4 linked regions of the Arabidopsis thaliana genome follow. The protein of the gene in region 1 binds, or shares a complex with, the protein of each later gene. Each region holds a gene or a part of one and is shown in the gene's direction. Other genes may lie near its edges. The genes, in order: CBL1, CIPK16, HAI2 and SIP3.

Region 1 (5,396 bases):
AACGCATTATGATTATCCGCAGCAACAAAGCCTGCTTCAACCTCATAACCATCAATTAAACAATTCTGTAATCACTAACACATCATACATATCTAAAAATTCAAAATTGGTAACTCACCAAAATTCTTTAGTAGATGACAAAGCCCAGCCACCAATGAAGCTATGTGGTTGCAATCATCAGAATCAAATCTCTTGTCCCCATTTACCGTATCCTATTCAAAAACATGTTCAAATCTTAAATTGAACAATCCGAAGCAAATTGCCGAAGTGTGAAACAATAAACCAATCAATCAATACCTCTAAACGAAAAGGGAATTGCTCAATGAGAGATTCGAAAAGAGTTGAAGGAGATACGCCTGTGGAGCTTAAAACACAGTCAAGGAAAGCAGGAATAGCTGCTGGTGGAACTTGCTTGAAGCTCAGTGACAATGAAGTAATCACTGACGAACCCATTTCAATTGAAGCTTCGAACTTCAAAAAAATTGGCTGCAAGCAGCCAGAATAGATGAAGAAACGTAAACGAATTTGAAATTAGTACAGAGGGAAGTGTTACGAGGAATCTCTCTGTTAAACCCTTTCAAATAATTTTCATGGCTTAGGACAGATAAACCCTAGTCGTATAATTAGGGGGGAAATTAGAATTATTGATAAGGGCTTTCTTGGGCTTAACTTAGTATGATTGGGCCGTATGGGATAGACTTCAGGAGAAGAAAAAAAAAAAAAAACCGGAAATTGTTCGGGGGATTGAACCCGACGTGAATCGAACACGCAACCTTCTGATCTGGAGTCAGACGCGCTACCATTGCGCCACGGATCCGGATGTTATTATGTTGCATTTATAAAATTATAATACCGTAGTATACGCAAATTAAACAAAACATTTTGAGGACGCGTTCCCAACACGGCCGGTGACCAAAGAGTCAATTTAAGCCCGCTTTAAAGATATCAAAATGATATAAAACTCTAATTGATCGAGTTAACGGCAGGAGAATCAAAGCTACTAATCATAATCAAGAAATTTAATATATATACGCTATTATTATTGTTTTGAACGATAAACACGTGGTCTGGTCGTGATTAAGGTCCTAATTATGTCAACGTTTGCCTGCCACATTGCAGACCGAAGTACTAATTCCACACCGACTGGTCTACGACATATTTAATTCATAAACACAATACTTTATAATTAAATTGATTCTTGTAGAGATTTGGCTTCATGATCTGATTTATTTAGTTAATAACCATTTCAACAGATAATTACAGTTTAGAGCCTTTTTCCAGTTGTCAAGAGTGTTATGGTTTTAAAATGGCACCCTGTAAATATCACATATGTTAGTGGATTTATTTTACCAAAGAAACAAAAAATGTTAATGGATTAAAAAACTTGTGTTTTTTTAGATAGCAAAACCAAAAGAAGATATGGTGACCACTAACACGATCAGTCGAAGACAAATGTTTCCCAGACTTTATTATTGGCGTTTCCATTTTGCATATTAGTCAAATTATGGAGCATCGCAAATATCTAATAAACTAACTATATAAAAAGTTATTATAATACAGGGTTACCAATTCCGTATATTCAGAATATTCCTAAGAGGTGCCATTTTGACTAATAAAATGGACGGATCTTTGATTTATTCCGGAAGTGAATGGATATTAGAAGAAACAAAAGAAATTTTGAATTTCTTGTCCAAAAAATATTTTTCCCATTCTTAGTATACAGAAACATAGAAAATATCGTGTATGCTTACGTAACAATCAAGTTGTAAAAAGAAAAAAAGACAGAAGATAAATAGTACAGAATGAACATAACAGAAATCAATCTATGGAATTAGGTACAATTAGGTTCGGTCTAACTGAAATTACATGACGACAGAAAAAACTGAACTAAACGCCGATTCTATTAACTTCCAAAACTGACTCGTCTCACACGCGCTTACTATGATTCACACGTGCGAATATGCCATCATATAAGCGCTACTAAAATTCATTCCAAAGGAAAAAGAAAAATAAATAATCGATCTCAACCGTCCGATCATCCATCTTGCCATCACCGTTCACCAATCTTCTTCGTCTCCTCTCTCTTTCTCTCTTTTTGCTGTTTCTAGCTCCTCTCTCTCTGGATCTCGCCGGCGAACCGTTTCTCTTGGGTGGTGAGTGTTGCTTCTTATTTTTAAGAATCTTTTTCTTTTATTTCCATCGAATTTCGTTTTTTTGAGTTTGATTTTTGGCCTGTGGAATTCTCGATGTTTCTACATTGATCGTCTGGTTTCGAATCGTGTTTTACTGGTACAATTTTGATTCCATCTCCGTATCTTATGGATTCGAAGAACTTTGTGTTTTTTTTTTCTTTCTTCATTGATGCTACTTTGCTAGGGTTTACACTTTTTTCTTCCATGGTAAAAAAATTTGAGCAAAGTTGTTGAGATTCTTCTAGACTGTTTTCAATTTTACGTTTCACAAAGATTTTTTTAGATGATTTGTTTCTAATGAAATGGCATTGTTTGTGTTCTGTTTCCATATGTGTAGATTTTGAAAATATGTTTGTGATGATTGTGCAGTAAACAGTAGCAATCAAGCTATAGAATCTCAGATATCGCTGAATTAGCTGTTGGATTTTATCCGCCTTTTCTTCGTTATCCGGGGCTCGGGTATAAGGTTTCATCGTCTTATTTCATCTGTAAATGGGCTGCTTCCACTCAAAGGCAGCAAAAGAATTTCGAGGACACGAAGACCCTGTTAAGCTTGCCTCTGAGACAGCTTGTAAGTTTACTCGCGCTATAAGTTTAAACCTCCTCTAGATTCATTTCTCTCAAAGCTGCATGTTCATTTGTTTTCTGATATGAGATGAGAATCATCAGTTAGATTCAAATCATTCTTTCTCTGTTCACTGATTTAGTTTATCTCCGGTTTGGATTTTTTTAGTTTTGTGTTTTGGAGTCTTTGTCTGCCTAACAATTTCTAGTAATGATCCTTCAAAGTTGGTTAACACTCTATCTCATGTTTCTTGTTACCAATACCATCACCTTAATCTTGTTCCTTAACTTGTCAAGACGAGTTCTCTCTCCATGCAAATTCTAAATGTGAATTATTAGTCTCTTTGTTTGTTTGTTTGTTTGTTCCTGGTAATTCTTTGTTTTGATCTCGTAGTGTTGCTTGTTTTTTTCTCTTTTCCAGTTAGTGTGAGTGAGGTTGAAGCATTATTTGAGCTATTCAAGAGCATAAGCAGTTCGGTTGTTGATGATGGTCTGATTAACAAGGTACAAAGTTTGTTTCTTTTGACCCAATTTGGATCTTTTCATGACCCCATCGTTGTATCTTTTTGTTCTTTACGCTATTCATCTACAGTATTTTTCAACTTAGTTGACTTTATTTGAGCAATAATTATTCTTCCATGACGATATGTCTGTTCCATATTGCATCGATTCAATGTATCGTAGCCCTTAATGTTTGACTTGAACTTAACTTATTTTATTGATTGCTTTGATTTTGAATTTTGAAGCCTTCATGGCCCACCTTGTTTATGTTGTTTTTTAATCCTGGCTTCACATGTATGCAGGAGGAGTTTCAACTTGCTTTGTTCAAAAGCCGGAAGAGGGAGAATATATTTGCTAATAGGGTAAAATCTTAATTCTTCAGGCTTTTACAAGATTCATCTTCTGGAAGAGTGATCTAAACCAAGATAATATGTCCATTATCCTAAACAATATTGCTTTTCCGCAGATATTTGATATGTTTGATGTTAAACGAAAAGGAGTCATCGATTTCGGGGACTTTGTAAGATCACTCAATGTTTTCCACCCCAATGCTTCTCTAGAAGACAAAATAGATTGTAAGTTGACATAAGATAGTTTCATATATAGGTGTTTATTGAAGCTTTTGTGAAGAGATTTATTGATTCTGGTCTGCCATTTTTTCTCAGTTACGTTTAGGCTTTACGACATGGACTGCACGGGTTACATTGAACGACAAGAGGTAATACTAACTTGCAAGCTTTGAATACTAGTCATGATAGATCTTTGCCATGTTCTTGAGTATTCATCTTTTACTTAATAACTTTGCAAGAAATCGTTAATGAATGTGATATATTTGCAGGTCAAGCAAATGTTGATCGCGCTTCTCTGCGAATCTGAAATGAAACTGGCTGATGAAACCATAGAGATAATACTCGATAAGGTTTGTTGTTGTCTAAGGCTTTATTTTTCTAGATGGTATACATTTAGAGATGATGTTCTTAATGTGGTTTCCTTCGTCCTTCTCATATATGAACAGACATTTGAAGATGCAGACGTGAATCAAGATGGAAAAATTGATAAATTAGAGTGGAGTGATTTCGTAAACAAAAATCCATCATTGCTTAAGATCATGACTCTTCCATATCTCAGGTATATTACAAATTGCCTTTTATGGAAACCAAAGAAAACTGAAAAATGCCAAATGAAATGTCATATTAACTTGTACATAAACAATGCAGGGATATTACGACAACGTTTCCGAGTTTTGTCTTCCATTCGGAGGTCGATGAGATTGCCACATGAAGAAACAAACTGGTTTAAGACCGAGTAGATTGCCACGAGTTGGAAGAACAAGTCTGAGCTAATCGGTGTAATCAACATCTGTTTGTAAACAGTAGTAGAGCATATTCTCTTGAAATTGTTTGGGTTACTTTTTTCTTCTCACAACAGTTTAAAATTTTGGGTTTTTAGCTTACAAAAAAAAAAAAAGAAGAAGCGCGTAATCACCAATCCTTCACTTCATATAGTTAGGAAATGTTAATGAGTTTGTACATATTACATCATACGTTTGTTGTAATTGTTTTTTTTCAAGTAAAAAAGTAAAGATTTGTTACGTTTACTCGGGGTTCTAATTGTTCCAATGGAATCTTATACTGCAAAAACGTGAATTTGAGATTTTGTTGGGTCCTTAACCGCAAAAGCGAAAGTACGAATGTCCTAGGACCCGACCCGATGAAATTTACAGTCTTGCCACTCTTCTCTTGTTACAGTGTTCCTCTCTTCTCTCTCGATTTCGAAGTTTCCAGCAATTTAGGGTTCTTTCTCGATTGGAGAATTCGTATGTTGTTATCATGTTCTCGTCATTGTTGTGCTTTCTTTGTTAAATTCTAGATTTGGAATCGAAATTCTAGACTAATGTTTAGGAAACGGAACTTAGTTCTAGAATCATTTCGTCGATTCGATAGCGGTAACGTAGAAACCCTAATTTCATGGGTCTTGTGTAGTCGCACCTCAAAGCCGTCTCTGTTCTGTACTAGTGTTAAACCTGCTAGATTAAACTGGGAAGTTTCTTCTCAAGTAATTCTCAAGAAGAAGCTAGAAACAGCTCTTAAAGATCACCGTGTAGATGATGCTTGGGACGTGTTTAAAGATTTCAAACGC
Region 2 (4,988 bases), on another chromosome or scaffold:
GCTACAGAAAGTAGAGAAAATTTTGTACTTTTGAAGTAAAGAAAAAAAAAAGAAGTAGACAAAATTGTGTAGGATTCTTCACGGTTTTTGCATTCTTCTTTATTACCAAGTCTTCAATATTTTCATTTCAATAAAACTTCCCCTTTCTTACAAAGAACTCTTATTTTCCATTTTTCTTCACATTTTTCCTTGCAAGATCACTCATTTTAATTTATGTAAATGATAGAATTTGAAGATCCATACTTCAGCAATCTGTTTTTCTTGGCATGTTGAGTTTTTATCAACAACACCAATTATTATTTTATTTTCTCTGGTTCAAGAAATTGTCTAAGCTCCATTCAAACATTCTGTACTTATATATAAAGTTTACATCATCACATATTGTGCATCAAATAGCAAAGGTTTTGGCAACATACATATAATATGAATCGTGCTTGTACACACACACACACTCATGTATATATATGTATTTATTGTTTACCCTTGAACAACATTTTTAGGTAAGGGGGTCTTCTATCATCAGGAAAACATAAGGTAGATGAGGTAACATCTTTAGATTCGTTCGAAGTAGAACTCCTATGCATTTGATCAAATTGTTTTCTAATTAAGTAATGCAACATTTAAACCATGTGCAGCACAAACGATGGCTTATTTAGGTGGATTTGCAAATCTTTTCACTCTTTAGGGCATATTCCAATCAACTACTGCTTGAAATTTGACTGATCAATGTGATGCAAAATTCACGGCATGGCTTGTTTTAGCAGCTAGTTTCGACAACCTAATCACCCGAAAATAACAAACAATCGGAAATGCAGCGCGATAAGTAGATATATGTCTGTGATCACCCAATTAGCCACAAAATAGTGTACTATGTTTGTGATGTTACCCTTTTACTCTTCAATTTTAAATACATATCTCGTTATAGTATTTTTTTTTTTTTTTTTTTTTTTTTTTTTGGGTAAAACTCGTTATAGTATTTCGTTAGAGTATTAACATTTGTGTAAACATAATTGTTGTCATTAATCGTGGGTCCAAATCATGACACATCACAAAGTTTCTTGGACTTGTTATACATGTTCCTTAAAATGATTAGTTATATATTATCTTAATAATCCTGATCTTTAAATCGAACAAATTTAGATTTAGCTTCTTTTTTTTTTGTTAAAATTTAGATTTAGCTTTACAAGATGTACCTTTGATTATGATAGAGGAAAATAACAGTATCCCACCCAAATACACGGTTATAATGAGATTTTCATGTATGTAGAAAAATCATCAAATTGTAAGAAAACAATTGGAAAAATTGAGTGTGTTGTTTTGAGTAGCAAAATATGAAGAATCCATCAAACCAAGAAATTAGCAAAGATGTAGAAAGGAAGATTTGGTCGATAGATTCACGGACGTATTAGAAATGACCACTTTCCGATACAATCGTCCCAACTAGGAAAAGAGTCAAAGCTTTTCGAAAGAAATTAAAAATTCCTCTATGAAAAATAAGTCAAGAAATTGTTTTAAAAATATTTAAGGGCCAAGTAGAAAAGGTCACATCTTGCCTTACCAAAAAAAGACAGTTCATTGAAATTTTATCGGGACAAGTTTACTATTTTTAATTAATGCGTATCTACTTCAAAACATGCGTAGCATTAACGGCGATTCCACGTCAATTTCATGGCGTCCACAATTTTTGTATAAGGATAAGAGAGTTACTTTTATATTTTTAAAATCTATTCTGAAAACTTTAAGAACTTATTTACATGAATACATGGTCAGAAATGTGCGAGACCATTGTTTAACTGGTTAAAAAAAGGATTTATTTACATAGAAATGGATTTAAATCACCTGTTACACTTTTATTGAAATCATTCTCTTATGATCATTGCATCGTAACTCGAGATATTTATTTTTCATGCTTTAGTTTGTTAATTATATCTAGTTTTATCATGTTCTATAACCCTTTTTTAGGCACTCAACATAAATAGCAAACCCCGATTTAGTTCAATTCGCGAATCAATTTCGTCTTGGTTATTCTTTTGGCTTTGGTCGTATTTAATTATGCTAGCTGCCAGATCTTAGGCACATCACTTTGTTTAGATAAGATTAGAACATTTCTTCACAGTTCACTTAGTCGTCACATATCAAACAAAGTAGACAACATTATAAATAAAAAAATTCCACAAATAATTTCTGCTTATATATATAGATATGTAACCAAATCACAAAATTCCACATAATTAGTCTCACATATACTTGTAACTAGTCAGACAAAGACAATGGAAGAATCAAACCGTAGTAGTACTGTCTTGTTCGACAAATACAACATCGGAAGACTTCTCGGAACCGGTAACTTCGCCAAAGTGTATCACGGAACAGAGATCTCCACCGGCGATGACGTGGCAATCAAAGTCATCAAAAAAGACCACGTTTTCAAACGTCGTGGCATGATGGAGCAAATCGAACGAGAGATCGCCGTCATGCGTCTCCTCCGTCATCCAAACGTGGTCGAGCTCCGCGAAGTAATGGCTACAAAGAAGAAGATTTTCTTCGTCATGGAGTACGTCAACGGCGGAGAGCTTTTCGAAATGATCGATAGAGATGGGAAGCTCCCGGAGGATCTAGCCAGAAAGTATTTCCAACAATTGATATCCGCGGTGGATTTTTGCCACAGCCGCGGTGTTTTCCACCGCGATATTAAACCCGAGAATCTGTTGCTTGACGGAGAAGGTGATCTTAAGGTAACGGATTTCGGACTTTCCGCATTGATGATGCCAGAAGGGCTAGGTGGCAGGCGTGGTAGCAGCGATGATCTTTTACATACGCGGTGCGGGACACCGGCTTACGTGGCGCCGGAGGTTTTACGGAATAAAGGATACGACGGAGCTATGGCTGATATTTGGTCGTGCGGGATTGTTTTGTATGCACTCCTTGCTGGCTTCTTGCCGTTTATCGACGAAAACGTCATGACATTGTACACGTAAGTATTTCTTGACCAGGTTTTGGCCCAAACCGTATTTGTTTTTGTTATTTATTTGACGAATAGTGAGATACAAAAAAATATTGAACTAAAAGCCAAAGTAGTCCATTTTGAGTTGGGTTTCTAGATGCATCTCAATTTTACATCACATACTTATATATGTTAAAAAGAAATAATAATCATTTTTGGTTAAATAAAATATTATTTGAAAGAGACAGTTTAACTTGTACCAATAGATACAAAACTTGGATATAAGATATACTATTTGAAAGTTTACACACACAAAAAGAAAAGATATATAGTATTTGAATTATTTGTTCACGTAATTCAAATTTTAATAATTACTCAAAATTATACAATATTTTCCAAGATATTGAAACTATTATCAATTTGTGAATATTCGGGTGGTATTTTAGGTACATTAATCTGATATCAAATTCGATAAATGTTGGTCGATCGTATATTTCATTATAGTTCTATATTATCAAAATTTCACGTCCCGTATTTTACTAGATAATTTATAAAACTCCCGCCAATAATAACGGTCTCAAATAGTGCTCTTCTTACAAATTCAAATATTAGTATTGTTGAATGTGAATGTGAATTGATCAAATTCTCATTGTTGTTTCTTGTTTGATTGAACCTTTCGAAATAAACAGGAAGATCTTCAAGGCGGAATGCGAGTTCCCACCGTGGTTTTCCTTAGAATCCAAGGAACTACTCTCAAGATTGCTTGTGCCGGATCCTGAACAAAGAATTTCAATGTCAGAGATCAAAATGATTCCATGGTTCCGAAAGAACTTTACACCATCAGTAGCCTTTTCGATAGACGAAACGATCCCATCTCCACCGGAGCCACCAACAAAGAAAAAGAAGAAAGACCTAAACGAGAAAGAAGACGACGGAGCTTCACCAAGATCCTTCAACGCCTTCCAATTCATCACATCAATGTCTTCAGGTTTCGATCTCTCTAACCTATTCGAGATAAAACGAAAGCCAAAGCGGATGTTCACATCGAAGTTCCCGGCGAAATCTGTTAAAGAGAGGCTGGAGACGGCGGCGCGTGAGATGGATATGAGAGTGAAACATGTAAAAGACTGCAAGATGAAGCTGCAAAGAAGAACAGAAGGTCGTAAAGGAAGGCTCTCGGTGACGGCGGAAGTATTCGAAGTCGCTCCTGAAGTCTCTGTCGTGGAGTTCTGCAAAACCTCGGGGGATACGTTGGAGTATTACCTCTTCTGTGAGGATGACGTCAGACCAGCTCTTAAAGACATTGTATGGTCATGGCAAGGTGATGATGATGAAGACGATGTTACCACTAATGATAATGTTGACACAAATGATAACAAAATAAATAATGTTTCATGAGCTGTAATAATTCACTTTTTGGAATTGGATGTGCGAGGCGAGACTGTCTTATTGTGAAATTGCAAATGTATAAGAACATTTTTTTTATGATTAACAATAAAAATTACTTGGAGGGTTTGTACAATTGTCAAAAACTATTGAAGCAAAATTGGTTATATATGTTATGAACGTTCTATAGGTCATTAGTTCGAGTCTACTTCTCATTTTTTTTTTTTTTCAAGTGTTCAAAGCGAAGTAGTTTTGTTAATCTATATACAAACTTATACGGTTTACAAAATCTATACACGTTCAAGGGTTATATTGCGGATTACTTTTCAAATTCAATAAAATAATGTATATAAGATTAAGTAGGGCGGACTCACGTTGGTGCACCCACTAAACTATAAATATTTGAATTTTTACATAAGGAACTGTAACTAATCTAGTTTAATAAACACTTTGAAATGTAAGAGGTGAAGGGTTCAATGCTTTTTTTTGTAATATCATCTCCATCGTTGTTGATTGGATGTGCGCGAGCGAGATTGTCTTATTGTATATATAACACCATTTTTATAATATAATGTATATAACATTACCATTATACGCAAATTATTAAGCGATTAGTACAACTTAGAATGTAAGAAGGTATACAAGCAATAACCGGAAACTT
Region 3 (4,372 bases), on another chromosome or scaffold:
CATTAAAGCTTGTCATCGTTCACTGGAGAGAGTAGAGTGTGTGAGAGACAAAGTGACCTAACTTCACTGCAACAGTAGTCGGTAAATATCCAAACATAAGAGCTACGATGGTAACACGTGTACGGTGGAGGAAAAGAGAGCCCTCAGATTCCGTTATAAAGGAGGTGAGACCCACTCGCCGGAATGGAAACAAAGGAGAAACGTAGAGGTAAATGGTTGGGCCACTGCTTCACCAAAAAGCCTTTTCTATCTTCTTTTTATTTTTGTTTTGTGGCTTTTAACGGTTAACAATATAACTCCTCATTCCAAGACAATTACGTGTCCTCTGTACGGCTTTTTCATTTTTCACTTTCTACTTCATAGTGACTTTAGGGAGGCCTCAATTTTTAATTACTCGAGGATTATTTAGGTAATCATGAATGTAACTACAGCTTTACAGGTAATTAAACAGATGAGATTTAGTTGCGTGAAATCTAGCTGATCTGGTGCTTATATCAAATCCAATTGATGGAGACAGATTTGGACTTAAATTCATGATTGTATTTGTAATCTTATATACGTTATAGTTAAATTTCTTTCTCTCCGTACGTACTCTAACTATAATTATTATTAAATGCTGAACGCAATGCTTTTGAGTGCTGAGAATCTTTTTGGTCTGATTCAAAAATGATGTATTAGTACTCTGAATTCAATCTTAACTTCTGCAACGAATCAATGTATTAATTTATAGGAGATCCGGATAAAATTATGGATATATGCACGCTACTTCTTTCATTTTTAATTAGGTAAATGGTTATAACTTTATTTTATATATCAATTAAATGATTTTGGTATGAGATTACTAGTACACTTTCTTTGCAAATGTTTTAAACACGACAAGACAAAAATATTACAAGCATATTTTGGTAAAAAATATCATAAGCTTTCATATCAAAATCATTAGTTATGATGTTAGATTTTTTTTTTTTTTTTTTAACACTACAAAAAGCTCTGGTCTTAATATGTTAGAAATTTTAGTCCAAACCAGCCTACAGAGGATTTAGCTAAACAATTCCCAAGCACCTTTTAAGTGTTAACCGAAATAACGTAATATGATGTTAAAGGTTACATAAAAACAAAACTAAAGAATTTTCATATGAAAAGTTAACGTACGTGTCTTAGTGTAACCTAATTTTAGTTCACAGTATATAAATTCTTTAATGAGATGATCGCAAAATCGCTGTATACAATTTCGTACTTAATTCGTTAGTCTTGAAAAGTTGACCTAATTTAGATCAAATTAAGGTTAACTACAATAAAAATTTAACTAACGTAATGGGATTCTTTAAAATTAAAAAATCGTTGATTAGATAGATATTTTATCTTTAAGGGAGACACAGAGACAATTTGGACAAAAAAGGTCTTCCTGAGAAAGAAGTGGACCACAATCGTGGCGCGAAAGGAACTTCCTCCTCCCCTCTGTTGCCTTGTCATTGGGCCACGTATATCTCCACCTGATCGTGATGCTTACGTGGTCCATTTCTAGATACTATAGTGACCAGATCAACGGTCAAGATTGATTCTAATTTAGACGAAAGACCAACACGTCACGTCGCTAGAGTAAAAGATTTTTTGAAGGCGGAGGGAGAAAAATCAAAAGTTAAAAGTAATTTGAAAACGAGGAAGAGAAAAAGGAATTTTAAAATGTTTAATGAAGCGGTAGGCCGCATGGGTATATAAATGGGCACGCTTTGTAACGTGTAACGATGATATTTATTCAACTGCGTGGTATAACCAAAAAAAAAAGAAACACTATTCGACTCTTTTTTTGTTTTTGTAATAAACATAAAATAAATTTTGGAGAGAGATATTTCGTCGGAAATTAATTGACGTTCAAAAGATTCGTTACCGGAATATTTAGTAGAGGCGGCGATCGAGTTATGGCGGATATTTGTTATGAAGACGAGACGTCGGCTTGTGAATCAAGACCGTTGTGGTCTAGCCGGAAGTGGAGGATCGGTGTCCAGCGATTCAGGATGTCTCCGTCGGAGATGAATCCCACGGCGTCGACGACGGAGGAGGAGGATAAATCTGAAGGGATTTATAATAAGCGAAATAAACAAGAAGAGTACGATTTTATGAACTGTGCATCGTCGTCACCTTCTCAAAGCTCTCCTGAAGAAGAGAGTGTATCACTTGAAGACAGTGACGTCTCTATCTCCGATGGAAATTCATCGGTTAATGATGTTGCAGTTATTCCGTCGAAGAAGACGGTTAAAGAGACGGATCTGAGGCCGAGATACGGCGTCGCATCGGTGTGCGGGAGAAGAAGAGATATGGAAGATGCGGTTGCGTTACATCCGTCTTTTGTACGGAAACAAACGGAGTTTTCTCGAACAAGATGGCACTATTTTGGTGTTTACGACGGCCATGGCTGTTCTCACGTACGACGCCGTTTTACCCTAATTTGAAAATTTCAAAATTATTGATATATTTACGGTTTTGCCTGATTGAAATATACGATGTCGTTTTTGTAGGTTGCGGCTAGGTGTAAAGAGAGACTTCACGAGTTAGTGCAAGAAGAAGCGTTGTCGGATAAGAAAGAAGAATGGAAGAAGATGATGGAGCGTAGCTTCACACGTATGGACAAAGAGGTTGTTCGTTGGGGTGAAACTGTGATGAGTGCTAATTGTAGGTGTGAGCTTCAAACGCCGGACTGTGACGCTGTTGGATCCACCGCCGTTGTCTCCGTCATTACGCCGGAGAAGATCATTGTTGCGAATTGCGGTGACTCAAGAGCAGTTCTTTGTAGGAATGGTAAAGCAGTACCTCTTTCTACAGATCATAAGGTCAGTCTTTATCTCTTTCTAACTCTTTCTTGATTTGTTTGATTTAGTGGATTTTAACTCTTGTTTACGTTTGAAAATGAACAGCCTGATCGTCCGGATGAGCTGGATCGAATCCAAGAAGCAGGAGGACGAGTGATATACTGGGACGGTGCAAGAGTCTTAGGCGTTTTAGCCATGTCACGAGCCATAGGAGACAATTATTTAAAACCGTACGTCACTTCGGAGCCGGAAGTGACGGTTACGGATCGGACTGAGGAAGATGAGTTTCTGATTCTAGCGACGGACGGGCTATGGGACGTAGTGACGAACGAGGCAGCGTGTACGATGGTGCGCATGTGTCTCAACAGAAAAAGTGGTCGTGGAAGACGGCGAGGAGAAACACAGACTCCGGGGAGGAGGAGTGAAGAAGAAGGGAAAGAAGAAGAGGAGAAGGTGGTGGGGTCAAGAAAGAACGGGAAGAGAGGAGAGATCACGGACAAAGCATGTACGGAGGCGTCAGTATTGCTGACGAAGCTGGCGTTGGCAAAACACAGTAGTGACAACGTAAGCGTCGTCGTTATTGATCTCAGAAGAAGAAGAAAGAGACACGTTGCTTGACACTAATCTCCTCATCACTCTTACTCCACCGTTTTTTGTGTTGTTTAAAATGATTCTTTTACCTTGGGACGAAGGTAGCTCAAATCTTTGAACCCAAAAGAGAGAAAAAAAAAGCATTAGGTCTAAAAAAAAAACCCCGGTTTACTGAAAGCGGTTAAACCGGGTATGGTTGGGTCTTTTTTGTTCTGAACCTTTTTTTCTTGCCTTTTTTCGGTGTGTAATGAACAAACAGAAAAGGAAGCCGGAATGTGTCACTGTCTAGGTGGAATCAGTTCAGAATTCAATTAATAAAAAAGTATGTATATGTTTTCTTGGCTTTTAAAGCAAACCAATTAACTCGGATACGCGTGGTGATCTTTGAGAACATCACCGGGAATTTTCAGTTTGTTGATAAAGATTTTAAAATCTCTATAAACGAGTGGGCCTTTTTGGTGTTGGAAGAAATTCAAAATCTCACGGAAACGAAAAGAGAGAGAAGATAATTGGGAAGAGGACGGAGTACGTGTCGAAGAGGTAAAAGTAGAAACCCTACACCACGTAAAGAGGATGTGACACACCGGAACGATGCATATGTTAATATGCGCATTCGTACGTGTCGGTGTCGGTGTCGGGTAATTGATTGAGATCTGAATATGAACCTAATCAGACTGTTTTATCTAAACATGATCACTGGTCTGATGGAAAATCAAAATTAACTTACCTGTCATGTAATGTAAGAATTTTATTAAGAAGGAAAATCGAACCAACACTCCCAAAGCATTTGGGCCGAGAATTTTGGGGTATTATATTTTCATCTGAATCCTATAAGGCTATAACCTACCCAAAAATTTGGTAGCGCAACATCTAAACTTGATACAGAAAAATGAGACAAGGATATATTAAGCTTCAAATAGATGACCCATACAAAATGTTTTAATTGCCCAACCTAAACACATACTGAGTTGAAG
Region 4 (4,459 bases), 5.3 Mb from region 1:
TCCAGTTTTTTTTTTTTTTTTTTATGTAATATGTTATTAACATTTTGAAAAGTATATGGAACGACTTATTTGTTGGGCATAACAACTTAATAAAATAGCATATCTAATATTTCCTCTTAAAATGGAACGATTTAAAACAAAAACAAAAAAAATCTTCTCAAAACTCATTAGCTAATTGATTGATTGTAGTAATATAGAGAATCTTCAGCAAACCAAACTTTAGTTATTTACGGACCACATGATAATTATCATATCTATGAATGTTTTTAATTTATATATTCTTGCTACAACATCCGTTTCAAAAATTATAGCCTCAAAATAAACAAGAAAAACTTCACAGTTTATCTACCATCTTCGTGTATAAAAACAAAGAAATGAAGTAGAAAACCCTAGAATCTACACTCACATAATGGTCCACAAGGACCACAACGAATGAAAACAATTGAACACAAATTATAGTAAAGAATCATGGAATCTATGGAAAATTATCAGACCCTACATTAAGACACAACTATTTTCTTTATAAACCTTATGAATTTTTGTAGATACAGAACTTGATTCATTGTATATAATTATGCTATTTCCCTCAATTATCCATATGCATAATGCAATGCAAATGGGTAAGTAGTCAGTTAAACTAAGGGCTTGATTGGTTCTCCCTCTGCCACCCGCAAACGCAGCGTTTGCGGGTGGTAGCGGTTGTTAGCGATTGGCACCAATCATATAAACCGCTAGATATCGCTTTGGACCGCTCGAAATCGCCAGATTTCAAAAGCTCCTTCCCGCAAGCGTTTGCGGTTGCGGGCGGTAGCGGTTAGGTTAAAAAAAAAATTATTTTTATAATTAATTAAAATAATTATATTTTCCACCCAAACCCTATATATCTTATTCTTATTAGAAAACTCTAATAATTAATATATTGTAACTCTATTCTCTCAATTATGGCATCCACCCAAACGGATAAAAATTAAAATCAAAATCAATAATCAAAAGTAAGTATCATATATTCGTTCATCCATTCACGACCAGTTTGATTTTTTTTTGAGTTGGAGATGTGTTATAAATCGTTTGGATATCTTGAAGAAACTTTATTATATGTATAGAGGCAATCTGGAAAATCCGCGAGTTCAACGTTATTTACAGTTTATCACACTATTTGATGTAATTTTTGGTGATGTACCAAATGCATAAAGTATTAAGCTTTTTCTTGCAAAATTTATTTATTTTTGAATTTAATGTTTTATTTACGGTTTTAATTTTTAATTATATTTAATTTTTCTAATATTATGAATTTATCATAATAATATATTATATTTTTCTTTCTTTTAATAGTAATATATTATATTTATTTTGGTTTATTTTTGTTTAATTACTATCACACCCGCTGGTTTACCAGTCATAAAACTCCCGCAAACGCACCCATTATCAAACGTTCAACCAGTCGTTCAAAACGTTTGATAACGCTTGAAACTGCAACCGCCAGTTTCCGCAAACTTCCGCAACCATAACCGCACCCGCTGCATTTTAATCCGTCAGGCCCTAAAAAAATTAATCACTAGGCCGTTAATCCCTATCCGTAATACGAAACACTAGAGGGATAGAATAGTAAATCGCATCGTGACCGGTCATAAAAAGACACGTGTCGTCATCGCTATCCAAATAATTGACAAACTCGAAGCCGCCAAGGGATTGCCGAAGACACATGTCAGTCAGCGAAAGGAGGTTAAACGGTGTAGTTATCACTCCCTAATAAGGGTATCTACGTAATTGCAATGTCGTTAAGATCTATATAAACACTACTCTTTTGCTAGCTCTTATCCGACGGCAAAAGGAGAATTAAGATTTTTAACTTTAAACGAGAGTTTCGTTTATTTACTCAAAAATTTACTTCTGAAATCTCTATTTGAATTTCGGGGAAAAAAATCCTAAGTAAGGGAATGCAGAGAGATGGTCGGAGTATCGCCGGTGAAGACTAAGCTGTGTGATCGGTTTAACCGATCCGTCGGCGGCAGGAATTGCCACCGGAAACACGTCGAGGACGGGTGATCCAGTTTTCTAAACTCTCGTCTCTCGAATTCTTCGAAGATATCGAAAAACTGTAAATCTTTTTTTTCTTCTACTTTTTTACAAAATTCTCTAATCATCGTTGTAAAGTAAAAAACCATGGTCGGAGCAAAACCGGTGGAGAATGGATCTGACGGTGGTAGTAGTACGGGGCTGCTTCACGGCCGTTACGAGCTAGGGCGTCTTCTAGGTCACGGAACATTCGCGAAGGTGTACCACGCTCGTAACATACAAACCGGAAAAAGCGTGGCGATGAAAGTCGTCGGAAAAGAGAAAGTGGTGAAAGTTGGTATGGTTGATCAGATCAAACGAGAGATCTCTGTGATGAGGATGGTGAAACATCCAAACATCGTCGAGCTTCACGAAGTCATGGCGAGTAAATCCAAGATCTATTTCGCCATGGAGCTTGTACGAGGCGGTGAGTTATTCGCTAAGGTGGCTAAAGGAAGACTACGTGAAGACGTAGCTCGTGTTTATTTCCAGCAATTGATCTCAGCCGTTGATTTCTGTCATAGCCGTGGTGTTTATCACCGAGATCTGAAACCGGAGAATCTCTTGTTAGATGAAGAAGGTAATCTCAAGGTGACTGATTTTGGTCTCTCTGCTTTCACTGAGCATTTGAAACAAGACGGACTTCTTCATACAACTTGTGGAACTCCGGCTTATGTTGCGCCGGAGGTTATATTGAAGAAAGGATACGACGGAGCTAAGGCGGATCTGTGGTCTTGTGGTGTTATACTTTTTGTGCTTCTTGCTGGTTATTTGCCGTTTCAAGATGATAATCTTGTGAATATGTATAGGAAGATTTACAGAGGAGATTTCAAATGTCCTGGTTGGCTTTCTTCTGATGCTAGACGGCTTGTGACTAAGCTTCTTGATCCGAATCCGAATACGAGGATTACTATTGAGAAGGTTATGGATTCGCCTTGGTTCAAGAAACAAGCAACGAGATCAAGAAACGAACCAGTGGCTGCCACAATCACAACCACGGAAGAGGATGTTGATTTCTTGGTGCACAAGTCGAAGGAAGAGACGGAGACGTTAAACGCGTTTCATATAATCGCGTTATCGGAAGGGTTTGATTTGTCGCCGTTGTTTGAGGAGAAGAAGAAAGAGGAGAAAAGAGAGATGAGATTCGCGACGTCTCGGCCAGCGAGTAGCGTGATTTCGAGTTTGGAAGAAGCGGCGAGAGTTGGGAATAAGTTTGATGTGAGGAAGAGTGAGAGTAGAGTAAGGATTGAAGGTAAACAGAATGGTCGGAAAGGGAAATTGGCGGTGGAAGCGGAGATATTCGCGGTGGCTCCGTCGTTTGTTGTCGTGGAAGTGAAGAAAGATCATGGAGATACGCTTGAGTACAACAACTTCTGCAGTACTGCTCTTAGACCAGCTCTCAAGGACATTTTCTGGACCTCTACACCTGCTTGAATTTGATGAATTCTTGCGTGTTTCAAATTTTTATGTTGTAATATATATTGTTGGATTCTAGATTCGATTCGTGATTCTTGTTTTTGATTCTTAATGTGGTATCATAGTTTGGATCGTTCAAAAAGTTGTAAGTCTTTTGTGTGTGTTTGAGTCGTGGCCGATATGTTGCGTCACGAAGCAGAGAATGTTGTGTGTGGTGTAGAATGGTGTGTTAAAGATTCCATCATCAACAAATAATAATCATGACTCTTTTAAGAATGTTAAAGAGTCAATTTTTATGCATTCATTCTCATCAAATGTCTTTTTTTTTTTTTTTGCACGTCTCTTCTTACCTTGGATTGATTAGGACATCATCTTTGTTTATGCTGGTCCAATTTGTAGTGTCGTGTTGAATCATGTATATACTCTTCAAGATTCATGTGACTATTGTATTAACACAAGTACTTAAAAAAATTCTGCGTTTTTACTTTATTGAGTCGTTTAGCTTATGCGTTTTAAATTGGTAAGATGAGTAGTAGAATCATCAAGTTAATTCAGTCGCTAGCGATGATAGAGGGCTTGTGGAGTAAGTCGAGTTAGTAAAATCTGTCATATAACAATAGGGATATGATTAGCACAAATGTGACGACGATTGTATGATTAGTGATCAGAGTTTTTTTTTTTTTTTGAATAAAATGATCGTGACAAGTATTCATTGATTTGTTGATTATAAATAATAGTGGAGTAGATGGATTCAGATGAGTGAATAGAATATGAAAAGTAAAAGGAAGATGAGGTGGGCAGCAAAACAAAAGTAGAAGTTACGTGATTGGGATGGATGTTTCATGAACCCGATTAATATTATATTAGTATATATCTCTCTTTTTAATAGAATTCTTAGTATAATCATATCAAACATGTGATTCATTAACGGAGATGCAAACACCAACCCATGATCTGTAACATAAAAAACGAAAAATGAATAACCATC

What was found.
Region 2: CBL1 (region 1) and CIPK16 share a complex: the UniProt entries of both Arabidopsis thaliana proteins name them as parts of the K(+)-channel calcium-sensing kinase/phosphatase complex.
Region 3: CBL1 (region 1) and HAI2 share a complex: the UniProt entries of both Arabidopsis thaliana proteins name them as parts of the K(+)-channel calcium-sensing kinase/phosphatase complex.
Region 4: CBL1 (region 1) and SIP3 share a complex: the UniProt entries of both Arabidopsis thaliana proteins name them as parts of the K(+)-channel calcium-sensing kinase/phosphatase complex.

The regions. Positions count from the first base shown.
Region 1 is NC_003075.7:9,814,458-9,819,853, forward strand, and holds CBL1 (calcineurin B-like protein 1), read left to right. Parts: upstream 1-1,896; 5' UTR 1,897-2,153; exon of another isoform or gene 2,154-2,289; intron 2,290-2,529; exon of another isoform or gene 2,530-2,561; 5' UTR 2,562-2,684; coding exon 2,685-2,763; intron 2,764-3,177; coding exon 3,178-3,260; exon of another isoform or gene 3,261-3,523; coding exon of another isoform or gene 3,524-3,559; coding exon 3,560-3,619; intron 3,620-3,723; coding exon 3,724-3,832; intron 3,833-3,922; coding exon 3,923-3,975; intron 3,976-4,095; coding exon 4,096-4,176; intron 4,177-4,272; coding exon 4,273-4,566; 3' UTR 4,567-4,896; downstream 4,897-5,396. Other genes in the region: AT4G17610 (tRNA/rRNA methyltransferase (SpoU) family protein), read right to left, coding at 1-31, 119-212, 298-453; AT4G17616 (Pentatricopeptide repeat (PPR) superfamily protein), read left to right, coding at 5,151-5,396. UniProt on the Arabidopsis thaliana protein: Acts as a calcium sensor involved in the signaling pathway during growth and development and in response to abiotic stresses. May function as a positive regulator of salt and drought responses and as a negative regulator of cold response.
Region 2 is NC_003071.7:10,669,893-10,674,880, reverse strand, and holds CIPK16 (CBL-interacting protein kinase 16), read left to right. Parts: upstream 1-1,988; 5' UTR 1,989-2,270; coding exon 2,271-2,971; intron 2,972-3,630; coding exon 3,631-4,339; 3' UTR 4,340-4,471; downstream 4,472-4,988. UniProt on the Arabidopsis thaliana protein: CIPK serine-threonine protein kinases interact with CBL proteins. Binding of a CBL protein to the regulatory NAF domain of CIPK protein lead to the activation of the kinase in a calcium-dependent manner.
Region 3 is NC_003070.9:2,280,204-2,284,575, reverse strand, and holds HAI2 (highly ABA-induced PP2C protein 2), read left to right. Parts: upstream 1-1,747; 5' UTR 1,748-1,919; coding exon 1,920-2,423; intron 2,424-2,516; coding exon 2,517-2,828; intron 2,829-2,912; coding exon 2,913-3,425; 3' UTR 3,426-3,830; downstream 3,831-4,372. UniProt on the Arabidopsis thaliana protein: Involved in the negative regulation of the K(+) potassium channel AKT1 by its dephosphorylation, antagonistically to CIPK proteins (e.g. CIPK23). Functions as a positive regulator of abscisic acid-mediated cell signaling during seedling growth.
Region 4 is NC_003075.7:15,065,237-15,069,695, forward strand, and holds SIP3 (SOS3-interacting protein 3), read left to right. Parts: upstream 1-1,791; 5' UTR 1,792-2,163; coding exon 2,164-3,489; 3' UTR 3,490-3,947; downstream 3,948-4,459. Other genes in the region: AT4G30970 (uncharacterized protein), read right to left, coding at 4,030-4,074. UniProt on the Arabidopsis thaliana protein: CIPK serine-threonine protein kinases interact with CBL proteins. Binding of a CBL protein to the regulatory NAF domain of CIPK protein lead to the activation of the kinase in a calcium-dependent manner.